Linked DNA regions of Rhinolophus ferrumequinum. The protein of the gene in region 2 purifies or fractionates together with the protein of the main gene of each other region. This does not show direct contact. Links are inferred from orthologs where the notes say so. Each region holds a gene or a part of one and is shown on either strand. Other genes may lie near its edges.

Evidence for each region.
Region 1: the proteins of CLGN (region 2) and SLC12A2 purify together in Homo sapiens (co-immunoprecipitation; 3 studies listed by BioGRID and IntAct, with this or other methods). This does not show direct contact. The link is inferred for Rhinolophus ferrumequinum from reciprocal best matches to the Homo sapiens genes CLGN and SLC12A2.

What each region holds. Positions count from the first base shown.
Region 1 is NC_046290.1:88,519,090-88,527,235, forward strand, and holds the start of SLC12A2 (solute carrier family 12 member 2), read left to right. Parts: upstream 1-5,105; 5' UTR 5,106-5,291; coding exon 5,292-6,017; intron 6,018-8,146. UniProt on the Homo sapiens protein: Cation-chloride cotransporter which mediates the electroneutral transport of chloride, potassium and/or sodium ions across the membrane. Plays a vital role in the regulation of ionic balance and cell volume.
Region 2 is NC_046301.1:16,067,788-16,075,025, forward strand, and holds the start of CLGN (calmegin), read right to left. Parts: upstream 3,108-7,238; 5' UTR 2,991-3,107; intron 1-2,990. UniProt on the Homo sapiens protein: Functions during spermatogenesis as a chaperone for a range of client proteins that are important for sperm adhesion onto the egg zona pellucida and for subsequent penetration of the zona pellucida.

The DNA of each region.
Region 1 (8,146 bases), on a different chromosome or scaffold from region 2:
AGATTCCTTGTAATACTGGTTTGGCGGTGATGAACTCCTTTAGTTTTTTTCATGTCTGGGAAGACCTTTATCTGTCCTTTGATTCTAAATGACAGCTTTGCTGGGTAGAGTAATCCCACTTCTGGGTATTTAACTGAAGAAGCTCAAAATGGAACTTTGAGGGGATGTGCTCATCCATAGATTCATTGCTGCATTGTTTACAGTAGTCAAGATATGAAGGCAACCTGGGTCTCTCTGAATGGATAAATGGATAAAGAAGAGGTGGTACATATATACAATGGAATATTACTCAGCCATTAAAAGAAAAGAAAGAAATCTTGCCATCTGCAACAACATGGATGGACCTAGGAGGTATTATGCTGAGTGTAGTAAGTCAGACAGTGAAGGATAATGTCATATGATTTCACTTATAAGTGGAATCTAAAGAATAAAATAAACAAATGAACCAGAAGCAAAACTCATAGAATATTTTGATGGTTGCCAGATGGAAGGGTGGTTGTGAGTGGGTGAAAAAGGGGAAGGAATTAAGAAATACAAATTGGTTGCTACACAGTAGTGATGGGGATGTAGGGTACAACATAAGGAATATAGTCAATAATATTGTAATAACTATGTATGATGTCATATGGGTACTAGATCTATCGGGGTGATAGATGGGAGGGGGTTGAGGCAGGGTGAAAAAGGCAAAGGGAGTAAGAAGTACAGATTGGTAGTTATAAAATAGTCATGTGGATGTCAAGTATAGGGAATATAGTCGGTAATATGGTAATAACTACGTATAGTGCCTGATGTGTACTAGTCAGGGCGTTCGCTTCATACTTATATAAATGTCTAACCACTATGCTGTATACCTGAAATTCATATAAAATAATATTGAATGTCAACTGAAATTGAAAAATTTAAAAAGGAGGGAAAACATAAATGGGAAATGAGAGGTTCCAAGTTCCAGGTATAAAACAAATAAGTCATGGGAACGCAATATACAGCATAGGGAATATAGTCAATGATATTGTGATAGCGTGGTACAGTGTCAGATGGTTGCTGGACTTATGATGATCACTTCTTTAGCATAGGGAATATAATCAATTATATGGCAATAACTCTATATAGTGCTAGGTGGGTACCATTGAATAACTATGATGTACAACTGAAACTAATATAATATTGTATGTTAGCTATATTTTAATAAAAATTATTAACGATTTTTTTTTCTTGTTCCCCATCTCCTCCACAGTCTCTATAATCCAAACTCTTCTATCTTGATTAGTGGAGGAATCACCCTGGATTCAAATCTTGGTTTTGGCTGAGTCACCTCGGGTAAGTTACTGAACATGCTTTTCTTAACCAAGTGTTACATCTGTAAAATGGGGGAAATACTATGATTTTTTTCACAGTGTTTTTGTAAGAACAAAATAAGATTTATTGATGTAGAGTTTAGCACAATAACCAGGACATAAATTCCTTATAAATGTTAGCTACTATTATTACTATCATCTTATGCCTAGATTACTGAAATATCCTGTCTTTCCATGCTTACTGTTGCTCCTCTCCAATCTTCTCCCTACAGAATAACTACAGAGACTTTTAATGTAAATCTGATCATGTGCTTTTCTTCCTAGAAACCCATTAATGATTTTATAGGCTTTTAGAATAGACAGACTCATCTTATCACTCTTGCCCCTAAATCACTATGCTTTAACCAAATTGGCTTCAGGCTCCTTAGACAGTTCACGTTCACTCCACAATATTTCCCTTTTTTGAAACCCCTCTGCAAATTATAGTTTAATCCTAAATATCCTTCAGACTTCAGCTGAAAAGTCACTTCTTTCCGAAGGCTGGTCCCACTATTTTGCATTCTCATTCTACCATGTTCCTCTTTGTCCCAGAACTTCTCACTTTGTACACATTTATATGACTGACTACTTTTATTAGGGTGGTAATTGTGTTTTTGGCAATTATTTTTAACCTTTTAAACCGCAATTACTTTGCACCAACCTAATTTTATTACTATACATTTGTTTCCTCCAACAGACATCTTAGACTGAGCTCCTGATATTCCTCCCATCCAAGGCTGCTCCATTCACCATCTACTCATCTAAAAAAATAATACCACCCTTATTCCACTTGCTCAGGCCCAAACTCTTGGATTCTCTTTCATACTCCATTATCCATTAGCAACTTCTATTGCCTCCTCAGAATTCAACGATTTTCCCACCATTTCCACTGCTACCCATTGTGGTCAAAGCCTTATCATCACTTTCCGAATTTTTGTGTTATCTCTTAACACATTTCTTTGCTTCTTTCATTGTCTCTACCACTTACCCCTTGTATATTTACAACAAGGCAGCTAGACTAACCATTTAAATATACATCAAATCATGTCATTCCTCTACTCAGACCCTCAATAATTTGCCATCTGCTGGGGACTGAATGGTGTCCCCCACTCCCCAATCCGTATATTGTAGCCCTAACCTATGTGACTGTATTAGAGATAGTACCTTTAAAGTGGCTAAGATTAAATGAGGTCATAAGGGTGGAGGACTGATCTGATAGAACTGGTGTTCTTAAAAAGAGACACTAGAGTTCTCTATTCACTGTGTGAAGACGCAATGAGAAGGTGACGGTCTGCAAGCCAGGAAGAGGACCCCACACCAGAATCTAACGTTGCTGGCACCCTGAGCTGACTTTCTAGCATCTAGAACTGTAGGAAAATTTCTGTTGTTTAAGTCACCAAGTCTACGGTATTTTGTTATGGCAGCCCAAGTTGACTGATACTCCATCCCACTCAGAGTACAAGTCAAAGACCTTCCAACAGCCTAAGAAGTCCTACACATTTTGGTCTGTCATGCCCCCAACCTGTGAACCCTCCAACCTGTAAACTCTCCGACCTAATCACCTTTGATTCTCCCCATCCCTTAAGCAGCTTCAATCACACTGGCCCACATGCAATTCCATGAACATGTCAGACATGCTCTCATCTTTGGGCTTCTGTTTTTCCTTTGCTTGGCACATTCCTTTCCTAAATATTTGCATCACCCACTTCCTCACTCAAATGTCACCTTCTCAGTGAAAACTTCTACCATCTCAATAGCACATACATATCCTTTTCCCCTTTCCTCAGCATTCCAAGCATGCTGTATATTTCTATGTATTTCAATGTTCCTCTAGCATGCCATATATCTCTTTATCTTGTTTATTGCCTTGCTTTCTCACCCTAGATTATGAGCTCCATGAGAGAAGGGATTGTCTGTTTTGCTCACTGCTAGATCCCCAGGACACAGACCACTTCACAGTAGGTGCTTACCATTTGTTCAGTTCAATGAATGTTGAATTCCAACAGCCACCTAATTAGTTTTGCACACAGGTCAGCTACAAAGGCTGCAATCCCCTAGTAGGAACAGCACGGCTTAAAGGACCACTTGATTTTTCTGGCCTTTTCTGGTTTTCTGCTAATATTACTAAAGCTCAAGAGCAGATTTGAAAACTGGCTACATGATCCAAGAGCTACATGATCCTTCCTGTCTCCATCTTTATAATAGAGATAATAAACTGTGATGAAAAGTTATGCAGGTCAAATAAGATCATGGTTATGACAATTTTTTAAAAACTACCTGGTTGCAGCTTTCTTTACAGTATTGTATTTCAAAACAGTTCGGCAAACTCTGCAGCTGTTTGATCATACTTCTAGGGTTCGGCAAAAGATGGTGTTTATCCTCAAAAATAAAATTTAAAAATACATAAATAAAAATCAAGTGATTGAAGAAGCCATTCATTGTTACCTGTTTTTATGTAGGGTTGTGGGTAGAATTTAGGTTAAAAATGGATTCTGCTGCAACTTTCTTAAGTTGCAAAAATAATTCTTTTCCCGTACCTTTTACAAAAGAGAAAAATCGACCGCCGAGGAGTACCTCTGTTTGAATTAAAACAGGAATAATTCTTCACAACTTAAACCATGCTGAAACTTCCCAGTTACTGCTTTTATTATACCCATCTCTAAGCTTCCTATCATTTTTGGAAATGCCTCCTTACAAAAAGGTATCCCAACTAACCTCCTTTCTCACCTTCAAACATCACAGCTTTTAAAATAAAGGTGTCATCGGAAGTTTGCACACACCCAACTGCATTAGGACTGGAACTGGTTTTTGGTTATGCAAATCTAACACTGCCAGGCGTGTGAGTTTACCGCCTCAAAGGCGGCACAGAGGAAATCCTGTTTTCCCCTAGGCTCAGGCCTGAATTGAATGCGGGGAGTCGCGGCGGGAAGGAGCTCCGCCGAGCAGGCCTCGCCGAGGGGCGCACCTCGCCCGCAACTCCGGAAGCACCTGCGCGCGGGACAGGAAAGCGCCCGGCACCACCCGGAGGAGCCTGGGGCAGCAGGCGGCTCCAGTACCGCCGCGGGTACCGCGCGCCTGAGGGGAAGCGGCCCTGTAGCCCTGCAGCATCTCGCGAGATCTCGCCGGCTCACCCCAAGTACTGCGAGCTCAGAACTTAAAAAAAAGCCAGCGGGGAGAGCCCCTAGAGCCGCCGCTGTGGTGGCAGCTACCGCTGGAGCATCAGCAGTCGGCGTGCCCCGAAGCAGGGCCCGCGCGCCCCTTCGCCGGCCGTGCCGGGAGCCGTCCGCAGCCTGGGCTGCCGTGGCCTGGGCTGTCGGCTCGTAGACGCACAGCCCCAGGGGCGGGGAGACGGGGAGGCGGCCGGGGGGCCTGCTCCTCATCACCGCAGAGCGGGGCGGGGGAAGGAGGTGGAGGGAGATGGGAGGAGGGCGACGGAAGGGGAGGTAGCGGCGCGGATATCTTCCCGGCGACGGCGGTCAGGAGGCCGCGCCCGCTGCCCGGTCGCTCTGCTCGTGCTGCCGGAGGCCCGGCGCGGACTGGCTGGACGCGGTCTTGACGCTGGCCGCTCTCGCGTGGGGCAGCGCAGGACCCCAGGAGGGCAGAGGCGCCCAGGGACCGTCCGCCGAGTGCCACTGCAGGACCACGGGTGGGCGGGCTGAGGGGCGGAGGAGCTTGGGGCCCCGCCTCCCGCGTGCTGCAGCGGGAGCCTCCACCGCCGCGGCCCCGGCGAGGCTTTAAACAGCGGGGCCCGCCCCGCGGCCGCTGCACTCGCGCGCTGACTCGGCTGCTGACGGTGTTCGTGCCGGCCCGGTCGGGCTAGCGGCGGAGAGCGGGCGACGGCGAGAGCGACTCCCTCATCTGACGTTGCGGCCGCGGCCACCGCCGGCCAGGGGCACGGAAGGCGTGCTGCCCGCGACGTCCGCCAGGCTCTCCGGGTCCTCCGGGGGTCGGGCAGCGATGGAGCCGAGGCCTACGGCGCCCTCCTCCGGCGCCCGGAGGCTGGCCGGGGTCGGGGAGACGCCGCCAGCCGCTCCGCTGGCTGCCTCTGGGGTGGACCTGCCCGGCACGGCTGTGTCCTCGATGCCGGAGGATGCTGCGGCCGCTAGTTTGGGCGGCGGCGGGGTTCGCGGTGAGGGCGGCGCGGCGGCCGGGGACGGGCTGGGCAGACCCTTGGGGCCCACACCGAGCCAGAGCCGCTTCCAGGTGGACCTGGTTTCCGAGAACGCGGGGCGGGCTGCCGCGGCGGCGGCAGCGGCCGGTGCGGCGGGGAGCAAGGAGACCCCCACGGGCGGGAAAGTTAGCGGCGAAAGCGGGCCGGCCAAAGGCAGCGAGGAAGCCAAGGGCCGCTTCCGTGTGAACTTCGTGGACCCGGCTGCTTCCTCGGCGGACGAGAGCCTGTCGGATGCGGCAGGGGTCGGAGGCGAGGGGCCCAACGTGAGCTTCCAGAACGGCGGGGACACAGTGCTGAGCGAGGGTAGCAGCCTGCACTCGGGCGGCGGCGGCAGCGGGCACCACCAGCATTACTACTATGACACCCACACCAACACCTACTACCTGCGCACCTTTGGGCACAACACCATGGACGCCGTGCCCAGGATCGACTACTACCGGCACACAGCCGCGCAGCTGGGCGAGAAGTTGCTCCGGCCCAGCCTAGCGGAACTCCACGATGAGCTGGAAAAGGTGAGCTCTCCCTGCAGCCCTCCTGTCGCCAGTCCTCCCTCCTTCCCCAACCTCTGGTCCGCGCTGACCGCGGCATGTGGCCGCCGGCTCTCCACGGGTGAGGCGGCGGGAATGAACGTGCACGACTCGCTGGCATCTTTGGATTCAGCTGTCAAGGGTGGAATTGCAGAGGAATGTAACTTAATCTCTTAAAAGTTTGCAGCGGGTTAGGCTAGTTACGTGATACAGGAGAGGCTGCATTTAACAACCTTCCCCATCCAGTTATGTATCTCCTGTACGCTTTGTTTCTCACCCACGCTTAACAATTACCATCCCTTTGAATGACAGTTATGCTTGTGGGACCCGGGAAGGGAATGTGCAGGAGGTTTAGGTGAGGACGTCTCTCGGGAGAGAGTGGAAAGCACCTACCATCTGTGTCCTTTTTAAAGATTGTATTGTATGGCTTATGTACACCCATTAGGGGTCCCAAGAGTGGGAACTTCAGTGTTTCAAGGAAAAATCTTAACAGGATGTGTTTGTGGTCTATGAATTATTAAAGCTCAATTCCTGCAGTCTTGAATATGCAAAGATCATAAATCTTGGGACACGCTGTTCCTGATAATGGCATAAATCCATTTTTTAATGTAAACCTTTTGGGAGAGGGCTATATCAAAATAATATAGGCGGGGGATGAGGGGAAGCGGGGCGCAGAGTCGAGAGAGAGAGAGAGAGAGAGAGAGAGAGAGAGAGAGAGAGAGAGAGAGAAAGAAAGAAAGAAAAGAGAATAGAGAATTGGTTTTTTTCTGTGGAGGAAGTCCAGAAAGACTTTCTAGGGTCTTGCATAAGTTGTTATTACTCTGCAAACAGAAAGCCATCCCTATAAATTCTATTGATTTCTGTAATTCTATTTTTTTATGGCCACATATGACTTTTATTTCTTTAGGGTACAAAATCATTATTTCGAGATAACATTGATGCTTTTGAGGTTCAGTTAATATTTAACTTTTTTATGAGTTGGGATTACTTCAAATCTGCTTTTACAAGTGTGTAATGACTACATTGATGGAATTTTGTGAATGCAAAGAGTTGGTACCATACAGGTTGAAATGATCATAATGTGGAAAAGTTTAAATACAGAATTGGATATGATTATTTGAACTCACAGTCATTTCGTACAAGACTGTACTTGTCCCAGTGTTTGATAATGTAACATTCATACAGTTTGAAATACTTACAGAGGTCCCAACCCTTACAGCTTATTGATTGTTTAAAAACCTGACATCATTTAGCTTTGGATAATGCTACTCCTGTTATTCCATTGTGGTATTTTGTCATATCAGAAGAAAAACAATTTTTAAAACACTTCTTTTATTCATACACTTGTAGTTTCTCTCAGATCTGTTTTTTTTTCTTTTCAAAACTCAATCTTTGTAAAATACATTCGTAGCTGGTAATTTTCCCTTTTTAAGAGAACTTTTATACTGAAAATATTACACAGATACATTTCAGATTTATTTCACCAAAGCCTAGTAGTTTTAGCAGTAAAGCACTCTATATTTACCCATCAGTTTTAGAAAGGCTTTTTAAATTGAAGGATATTATATTCCTTGAACTTGTATGCTTCCTAGGAAAGTTTTTATTTTAAATTATCTAGTAAGAAAGCACTGGAAATTCTCTAACACTTCAGGGTTGTTTTTGTTTTGGCATTTTTGGTTAGTTTACAGTGTCTAAAAAAAGAAGACCTGTATTGCTAGCTGTATAGTACTTGAACTCACGCAGACTGTCAGCCTGAGCTTTCTCAGCTTTCAGGGTTATTTTGAAGATTGGTGGGGGGGGGGGAAATGCACATAAAGACGCATGTTCAGTGCCTGGAAAATAATGGCTAGGGTAGTTAATTGCAGTCTTCTATCGATTGACCCTTCAGAATGTATGTGGTTAAACTCTAGGATTTCAATTAGATTCTCAATTCCTACATTATCAGATTAATGTATATAAAATGTTCAGAGTTTCATTTATGCAACAGGTAGTATAATGAATTCTTTGTAGTTTTTTATCTTCTACCACTCGGGTCCTTTATGTCCCACCCCCCCGCCCCCCCAAAAAAAGATTTATTAGGTTAACTCAGCATAGAGCCTCCTATTGAAGATACT
Region 2 (7,238 bases):
TTACTTTATATTTCTATGACACTAAAATTTTACAGTGTTGACACAAATTTCAGGATATTTAAGATACTTGCATTTCCTAACTAAAAAGCTTCAGGATAAACAGTAAGGCTTACTATTGGAACTATAATTATCACATGCTACATAATATAAATGTCTAGGTACTCCTTTCCTTAACAAAAACTTCTAGAAAGAATGTCATTAACTGTTAATACTTCTAACTTCCCACAGTGGACAGAACAATGATGTCCATACCCTAATCCTTGGGGCTTTGCAGATGGAATTAAGGTTGCTACTTAGCTGACTCTAAAATAGGGAGAGTAGCCTAGAGTATCCAGACTGGCCCAATATATTCACATGGGCCCTTAACAATAGAAGAGGGAGTCAATGAGTGATGGACAGAAGAAATTGGAAGAGAGGGACTCCATCCACCATAGGGACCTTGAAGATGGGTAAGGGGGTCATGAGCCAAGGAACGTGGGTGGTCTCTAGAAGCTGAAAACAGCCTTCAGCTGATAGTCAACAAGGAAACAGGAATTTCAGTCTACAACCACAAGAAACTGAATTCTGACACCAACCCGAATGAGCAAAGTGGAGTCTCCCCAGAGCTTCTAGTAAGAAATGATGCCCTGTTGACACCTTGATATTAGCTCAGTGTGACCTGTATCAGACTTCTGACCCATAAAACTGTGAGAAAATAAGTTTGTGGTCATTATAATGGCAGTAGTGAAAAACTAACACTTTTATTATTCCTGCATTCCTTACTCCTAGCTTCTCTGAAACTGCTCCTATTGACCGAGTCTGAATTAAGTGCACGAGCATTTTTCTGCCCTATTGCCTACAGCTGACTGCCTTGGAGTCCTCTTCTCCCTTGGTTTCTAGGGTACCATTTCTGATTCTTGATTCTCTTCCTTTTCTCTGTCTCCTTCATGGGCACTTTCTCTAATCTTCTGTAAATATTACTGTTCCTTAGGGTTCTGTTTCCAGGCTTTTCTTACATTACGTATACTCTTGGCTGCTATCTATAAAAGGACTCCCAAATCTTATTCACAGCTCAGAGATCACCTCACTTTTTAGTTTCAAATCACCATGCATCTTCAAGGATGTCCCAAAGCCTCCATTAATTTGAACTTGGTCTTTCCTTCCAAGCCTGTTTTTGTATCTCCGTAATTCCCTTCTCCCATTAACTGCACCTCCAGTCAACCATTATCTTAAGACTATTCTTTCTTACTGATCCCCTGTGTCATTTGGTAATTAAATGCATTTGGGTATTCCTTAAATGTCTCTTTCTATCCCCACGCCACACCCTTAATTTAGGGACCCATCCTTTCTGAAAAGGGTTTAGTAAACTCCCACTTTGCCTCTTCAATTCCAGTCTTGCCAATCTCCAAATCTGTCCTCCACCTTCTCTCTAGCATGAGTTTTGCAAAAAATACAAGTCTTACTTCACTACCTGTTTACAAAAATGTTTAATAGTTCTCTGTAACTCTCAGCATAAATTCTACCCCTTTAAGACTCATTTCTTTCACTCTCTTCAATAGTGATCTATTTCACACATTCATGCTTTTCTATATGCTATTTCTTATAACTGATATGCCTTTCTAATGGCTGACTGGGGACTACCCTTATGTCTCAAAAACTGTGTTTGAAAATTATTATTATTTAAAGTTTTAGTTGTCATGCAACTTCAGGAACTAAACTACAGAATGATATGGTAGAAAATACACAGAACTTGGCACTATGGCATCAAATTTCTAGTTCTATTTTTAAAAAGGTTTAAGGGGTTAAAACTACTCTTGGCCTGTTTCATCATTTGTCAAGTGAAAGGGTTAAACTAGATGATTTAATGGGCCACTAAAGTTGGCATTTCTAGCTTTCTATTTAAGAGCACTGAAACTTATTAGGCACTGAAAATAAGCAGTAAGGCTAATTTACAGCACTGTTCAATTTCTACCGATCCATCTATGTACATCACTCACACACTATAATTAACTTTATCTGCTAAAGAATATAGAATACCTTGTTCTAAGGATTTAGGAATGAGGTCTAAATGTGACTGGAAGATTGAACCAATTCCATGTGAAGGCAAAACTGTAAACTGAAAAGAGGTCAAACTTACAATCACCAAACCAGGGAGGACTACCCAGAATGATGCAACGACGTAGGGTGATGTAAAAATTTTAAAGCAAGCAAAAATCTTACGCTTAGATCGGGTTTTGATGGCTTTTTCGCATCAAAAAGTTGCAATAAAAATTAACTCTCTTCTGAGACCTCTCCCCATGGCCATTCGAGTTACCTTCCCTCCCCCGTTTCTCAGCTTTGTTGCCATTTGCTTTTAAATCCCAAACAAATGACTGTTGCTTGGGGAGATGCTATAAACAAAATCAGCTCCAGTGTCTGATCACAAACAGGCTTTCGGCGATAATGAGTCTTGAGTAATTAGGGCTTCGCTGGGATTTAACCCAACCCTCTCCCTCCGTCCCTAGGGGCGCATGCCGGGCTCCAGGCATCCCATGTGCAGAGTGGACATGAGTCACAGGTCACCACCGCTGTCAGGGTTGGGTCCCTTCGCCCTTACAGAGGCGGGGAATGTGTAAACAGCCTATTTGGTTTTGGGGAGACGTAGCTGGAGGGATGAGCGGCGTCGCGACGATGCACCCCCAACCCGCTCTACCCCGGTGCCTCCGGAGCGCGCACCGGGGCGCGAGCGTGGAACGGGGCAGAAATGGTAACCGCTGGATAACGGACTCGGCTCCCGCAGGCCTCTTACGCGCTCAGGGGCAGCCGGGGCTCGGGAGGGGACCTGGCCCTTCCGAGCCCCAGGGCGGCAGGTGGACACAGGTGGACACAGGTGTTCCGCAGGACCCAACGGACACGACGCGGCACCAACTCCCGCCGCGGAGGGCTGGCCTTCCTACTCCCGAGGTCGGGAGAGCCCCCCCAGAACTCGCCCGCGGAACCTCCATCCCCGAACTCAACATCCGCCCCCTCACCTGGCCCCAACCTGTTCAGCCTGGCGAGTCGCCAAAGAAAGGGGTGCGGCCCAGGGACCCCCGCCGTGGGGGAAGGCGCAATGACTCCCGATTCCTCACCCCAGGCCGAGCGCAAAGGGCAGCCGGAAAGTGGCCTACTGCCCACGCACCTGTCTGGCGGGCCTGTTTTCGGCAGTGGCAGCTCAGATGTCCCAGTCGCTGCCACTTAGTCCCCGCGTCTCCACCAGACCAATCCCGCCCGCGGCCGCCCAGCAGCGACTGCTCACTGCGCGTGCGCGTGCGGCCGGGGCGGGGAGGAGGCTGCGCCCGAGGCGCGAGCCGCGCGCACCTGCACCGAGGGGCTCAACGGCCGCGGGGGCGCGCGGCTCGGCGACCCGGCGGTGCAGCCGCTGGGCCCGCTTTGGCGCTCGCGCCGCGCCGTCGGTCGGCCCTGGTATAGTGGACCCGGCTCCAGGCTTGGCGGGGAGTCCTCGTTATTCGTCCTAGGGCTTTTCTTCCCGCCCAGCGCCAGCCCGCTCTGCAAACAGTGGGGTTCTGCCTCCTGTTGCACACACGGTACTGAATTTTATGTAAATCACGTTTTTGAAAAGCGTCCAGGCTTTTTCCTAGAGTTCTATGTGTTACTAAGAGAACTCTCAGCAGCGAAGTGAGCAGCGAAGTTTCCTGTTTCGTTGGGTGTGTGGGATGCAGATGTTTTCAATGTTAACGTAATAAATACTTTATTTCTTTCCAAAATGCTATTAAGAATTGCTAATATTTATTGTGCTCACTGTGTTCTTAGGGGTTTTGCAGTCATTATTTCATTTAACCACAACAGTCCAGGTAAAGAAACTGAAGATAATTACTTGCCAGAGACTTTGACTAGTAAATGTGGAAATAATAGGTTCAGATCCAAGCCTGTCTCTTTCAGCACCTGTAGTTTAAACCAACACACTAAAATTAAACATATAGCGTAAATGTACTATTGAATCACAAGCTTTTTTTTTAGATGTTAGATCATACAGATTTTACAACTTTTATGGCAAATCTTGACTTTGAATTTGGTATAATCACGATTCAATTTTATTGGAATAAAATATTTGACTTGTGATACTACCTATTACAGAGTCTCAGACTAAGATTGATGGTGATCCATGTACAACATATAATTATTGACTAGACGTCAAGATCACTGAACATTTTCCACACTACATCAGTAATAGGGCCACCATCTCTAGACTTTTGACGCTGTCACCATCTGGAATGTTCATTGGTTAAAAAAAGGACAAATTTTATCTGAGGTACTTTGTAACATTATGCTCTTCATTCTTTCTTCATTCCTTCCAACTTTTATTATTCCACATAATTCTGTGGCCCATAACCAATACACTTTGACTTGCTGGAAAGAATTTCTGAAGGATCCTTCCAAAGTTTGTAATGAAGCTGAAAACTAAAAATTCTTGCCTTGTTCCTGACCTAATGTAAATGCCTCTAGTGTGTTCCCATCAAATTAGAACCATTTTTAGGATTGAGGTATGTATGTTTTATCTATGATTGCCAGATCTAGCAAATTAAATCACAGGACACCCAATGAGATTCTAATTTCATGTAATTTTTTAGTACATACATTTTTCATATGTGTATTTTTCTGGCAATCTTAAGTTTGTCATGTTAAGGAATTATCCACTCATTGCAATTTTTAATGTTTTCATAGAAAATAGGTGTTGAATTTTTTTTCCAAAGGCTTTTTCAGCATCTGTGAAGGTAATCCTATGATTTTTTTTCCCTTAGACCTATTAGTATTGTATGTTCTATTAACAAATTTCCTAACAGAATCCTAACCTGATTCTTGCACCTCTGGCATAAAAACCAGGTTATGGTGTGTTTTTTTCTTACTGTGGCTTGGGAGTTTTACTAATATTGCATTTAGGATTTTTACATGAATCATCATAAATTGTATAGGTCTGTGGTTTTCTTTTTTGTGCTATCATTATCAGGATTAGGTATTCATGTTATACTTATACCATTATCAGAAATATTGGGACTACCTGGTTTCTAAAATTTAGCTGAATTTCCTTGTGCAATCATCTAGGCCTGGTGCCTCTATGTGCTTTATTTTTCAAAAACTTTATTTCTTCTATGAATATTGATTCGTTTAAGCTTTCTGTCTCTCACATCAATTTTGGTAAACTGTATTTTCCTAAGAAATCACTCATTTTATCTGGTTTTTAAAAAGAAAACAAATTTCAGCAAAACAAAAACCTATCAGCTCATATAAACTTCCTCATAATTCATTGCCTTTGACTGGCTATTAATATCAACACAGCATTTTAAAATGTATGCCAAGGTAATTAAAGAAAAAAAACCATAAGAAGATGGTTTCTATGGGAAAATGCCTGCCCAGATTTAGCTCCCCACTATTTGTTCATAATTGTTGTAATTTTGCCAGAGGGTGGATGGTCCATACAAGACTACACAACAAACCCCAAGACATTTTTACACACCTTTGTCACTAGAAGGTATCTCTTTCCCCACTACCCATGAGCGTAGCCCCATTTACTATTACTACTACTACTAATAGTATTACCAGATTACTATTTACTACAGTAGTAAATAGTGCAGATGTTGGTGGCTTATCTGAATACTTGAGAGACAGAGTTTTCACTTATTTCTTAATGTTTGCAGAGCTTCTATTCACTTGAAAAACAGACTTTAAGAAAAAAAGATTTCAGTAAATCTGGTTGGAATGTGGTTTTTACAAACTTACCTGCTGTATTGAGTCAGAGGCTTAAATACATCATTTGCCTTCATATGTATGTTTAAAGAAAAGTGAATTTTAATAAGCAAAATCTCAACATTTCAGTAACATTCAGTCGGACAGCGAGCGTCCTTTCATACTGTTCCAGTTTATGGTCCCAACCCTTCAGGTATTTGTTTGATTCTTGGATGGTGGGCTAAAAAAAGTCCAAGTAAGCACCTTTTCACGGAATGTTGCCATCTTATTGAAAAATGCTGTACCTGGACTTACTTTTAAGTTTTCATATTCGCCTGGAATTTACTCATATTAGACTTGAATGAGTAAATTTAATTTTAAAAGTTCAAAATTTAAGTCAAATTAAAAATGTTTGTAACATACATATAATGTCTTTTTTTCTTCTTACCCCCACTAGCTTTACTGGGATATATAATAGTTGACATATAGCTTCTTTTCCTCTAAAAGCAGGGAATAAAATGGAACACATGAATAGTTCACCTTTCATATACTCTTTATATAATATATTGGTATGTGATACAGTTCATACTGAGGTAAATGTGTGAATTTTTGGTACTCAAAGATTACACAGCAATAGGAATTAAGATTTTTCATCCTTGATAAAGGATAAGAAAGAGGAAATACCTCTTATTATTTCTCAAAATAAATAAACTAAAACTCAATAGAATAACTAACAAAAAGAAAGATCTTAATAGACTTCTATAAGAAACAAATGGATCAGGCAGATAAAAATCAGTAGTGATTTAAAAGACTTGAATGAGTAAATTTAAAAGCCTGATATAAGACAGCCCTGCACCCAATAAATAGGAATATTTTAAGGAGACATTTTTAAATCATAAAACTAACATTTATGAAAACAAAGGAATGTAATATATTTTAAGGGAAGAATACAGAGACTACATATTCTTTTCAAATTCACATGAAACATAAGAATTCATAACAATTCTCAGATTTTATTACACAAAGTTCTCTAACAAAAATGTAATTGAGCAATCAACAATAAAATATGGCAAAACTAATATATTAAAAAAAAAACAACAACCCAGACACACTACAAATAACCCATGAGTTAAGAAGGTAATAATGAGAGAAAGTACGAAATCTTTAGAACTGAATGACTATCAGAGCACACACACATCAAGATGTTTGGTAATCAGCTCAAATGGCATTTAAGGGTAAGGTTATAGTTTTAAATGCATTTATTTAAAAGACAAAAAGATATTATGGCACTGCCAGATGCAGGCTTTTTGAACTTGTGCTTTCTATTTCTTTAGATGTCTTAACAAAATGGATAAGTGCATACACTAATTCACAAATAACCTGTCCATGACAATATCAAGTTTCTGAACGTTTAGCTATTTATTGAGATTATACGATAACATCACTATCCAACTCAACAAAATAATTTCTCAATTTTTAAAAACTTCCCTATCTTTACTGCTTTTATATTAAATTATAGTAGCAAGGATACAAACATCATAAACAAACATTTTCTC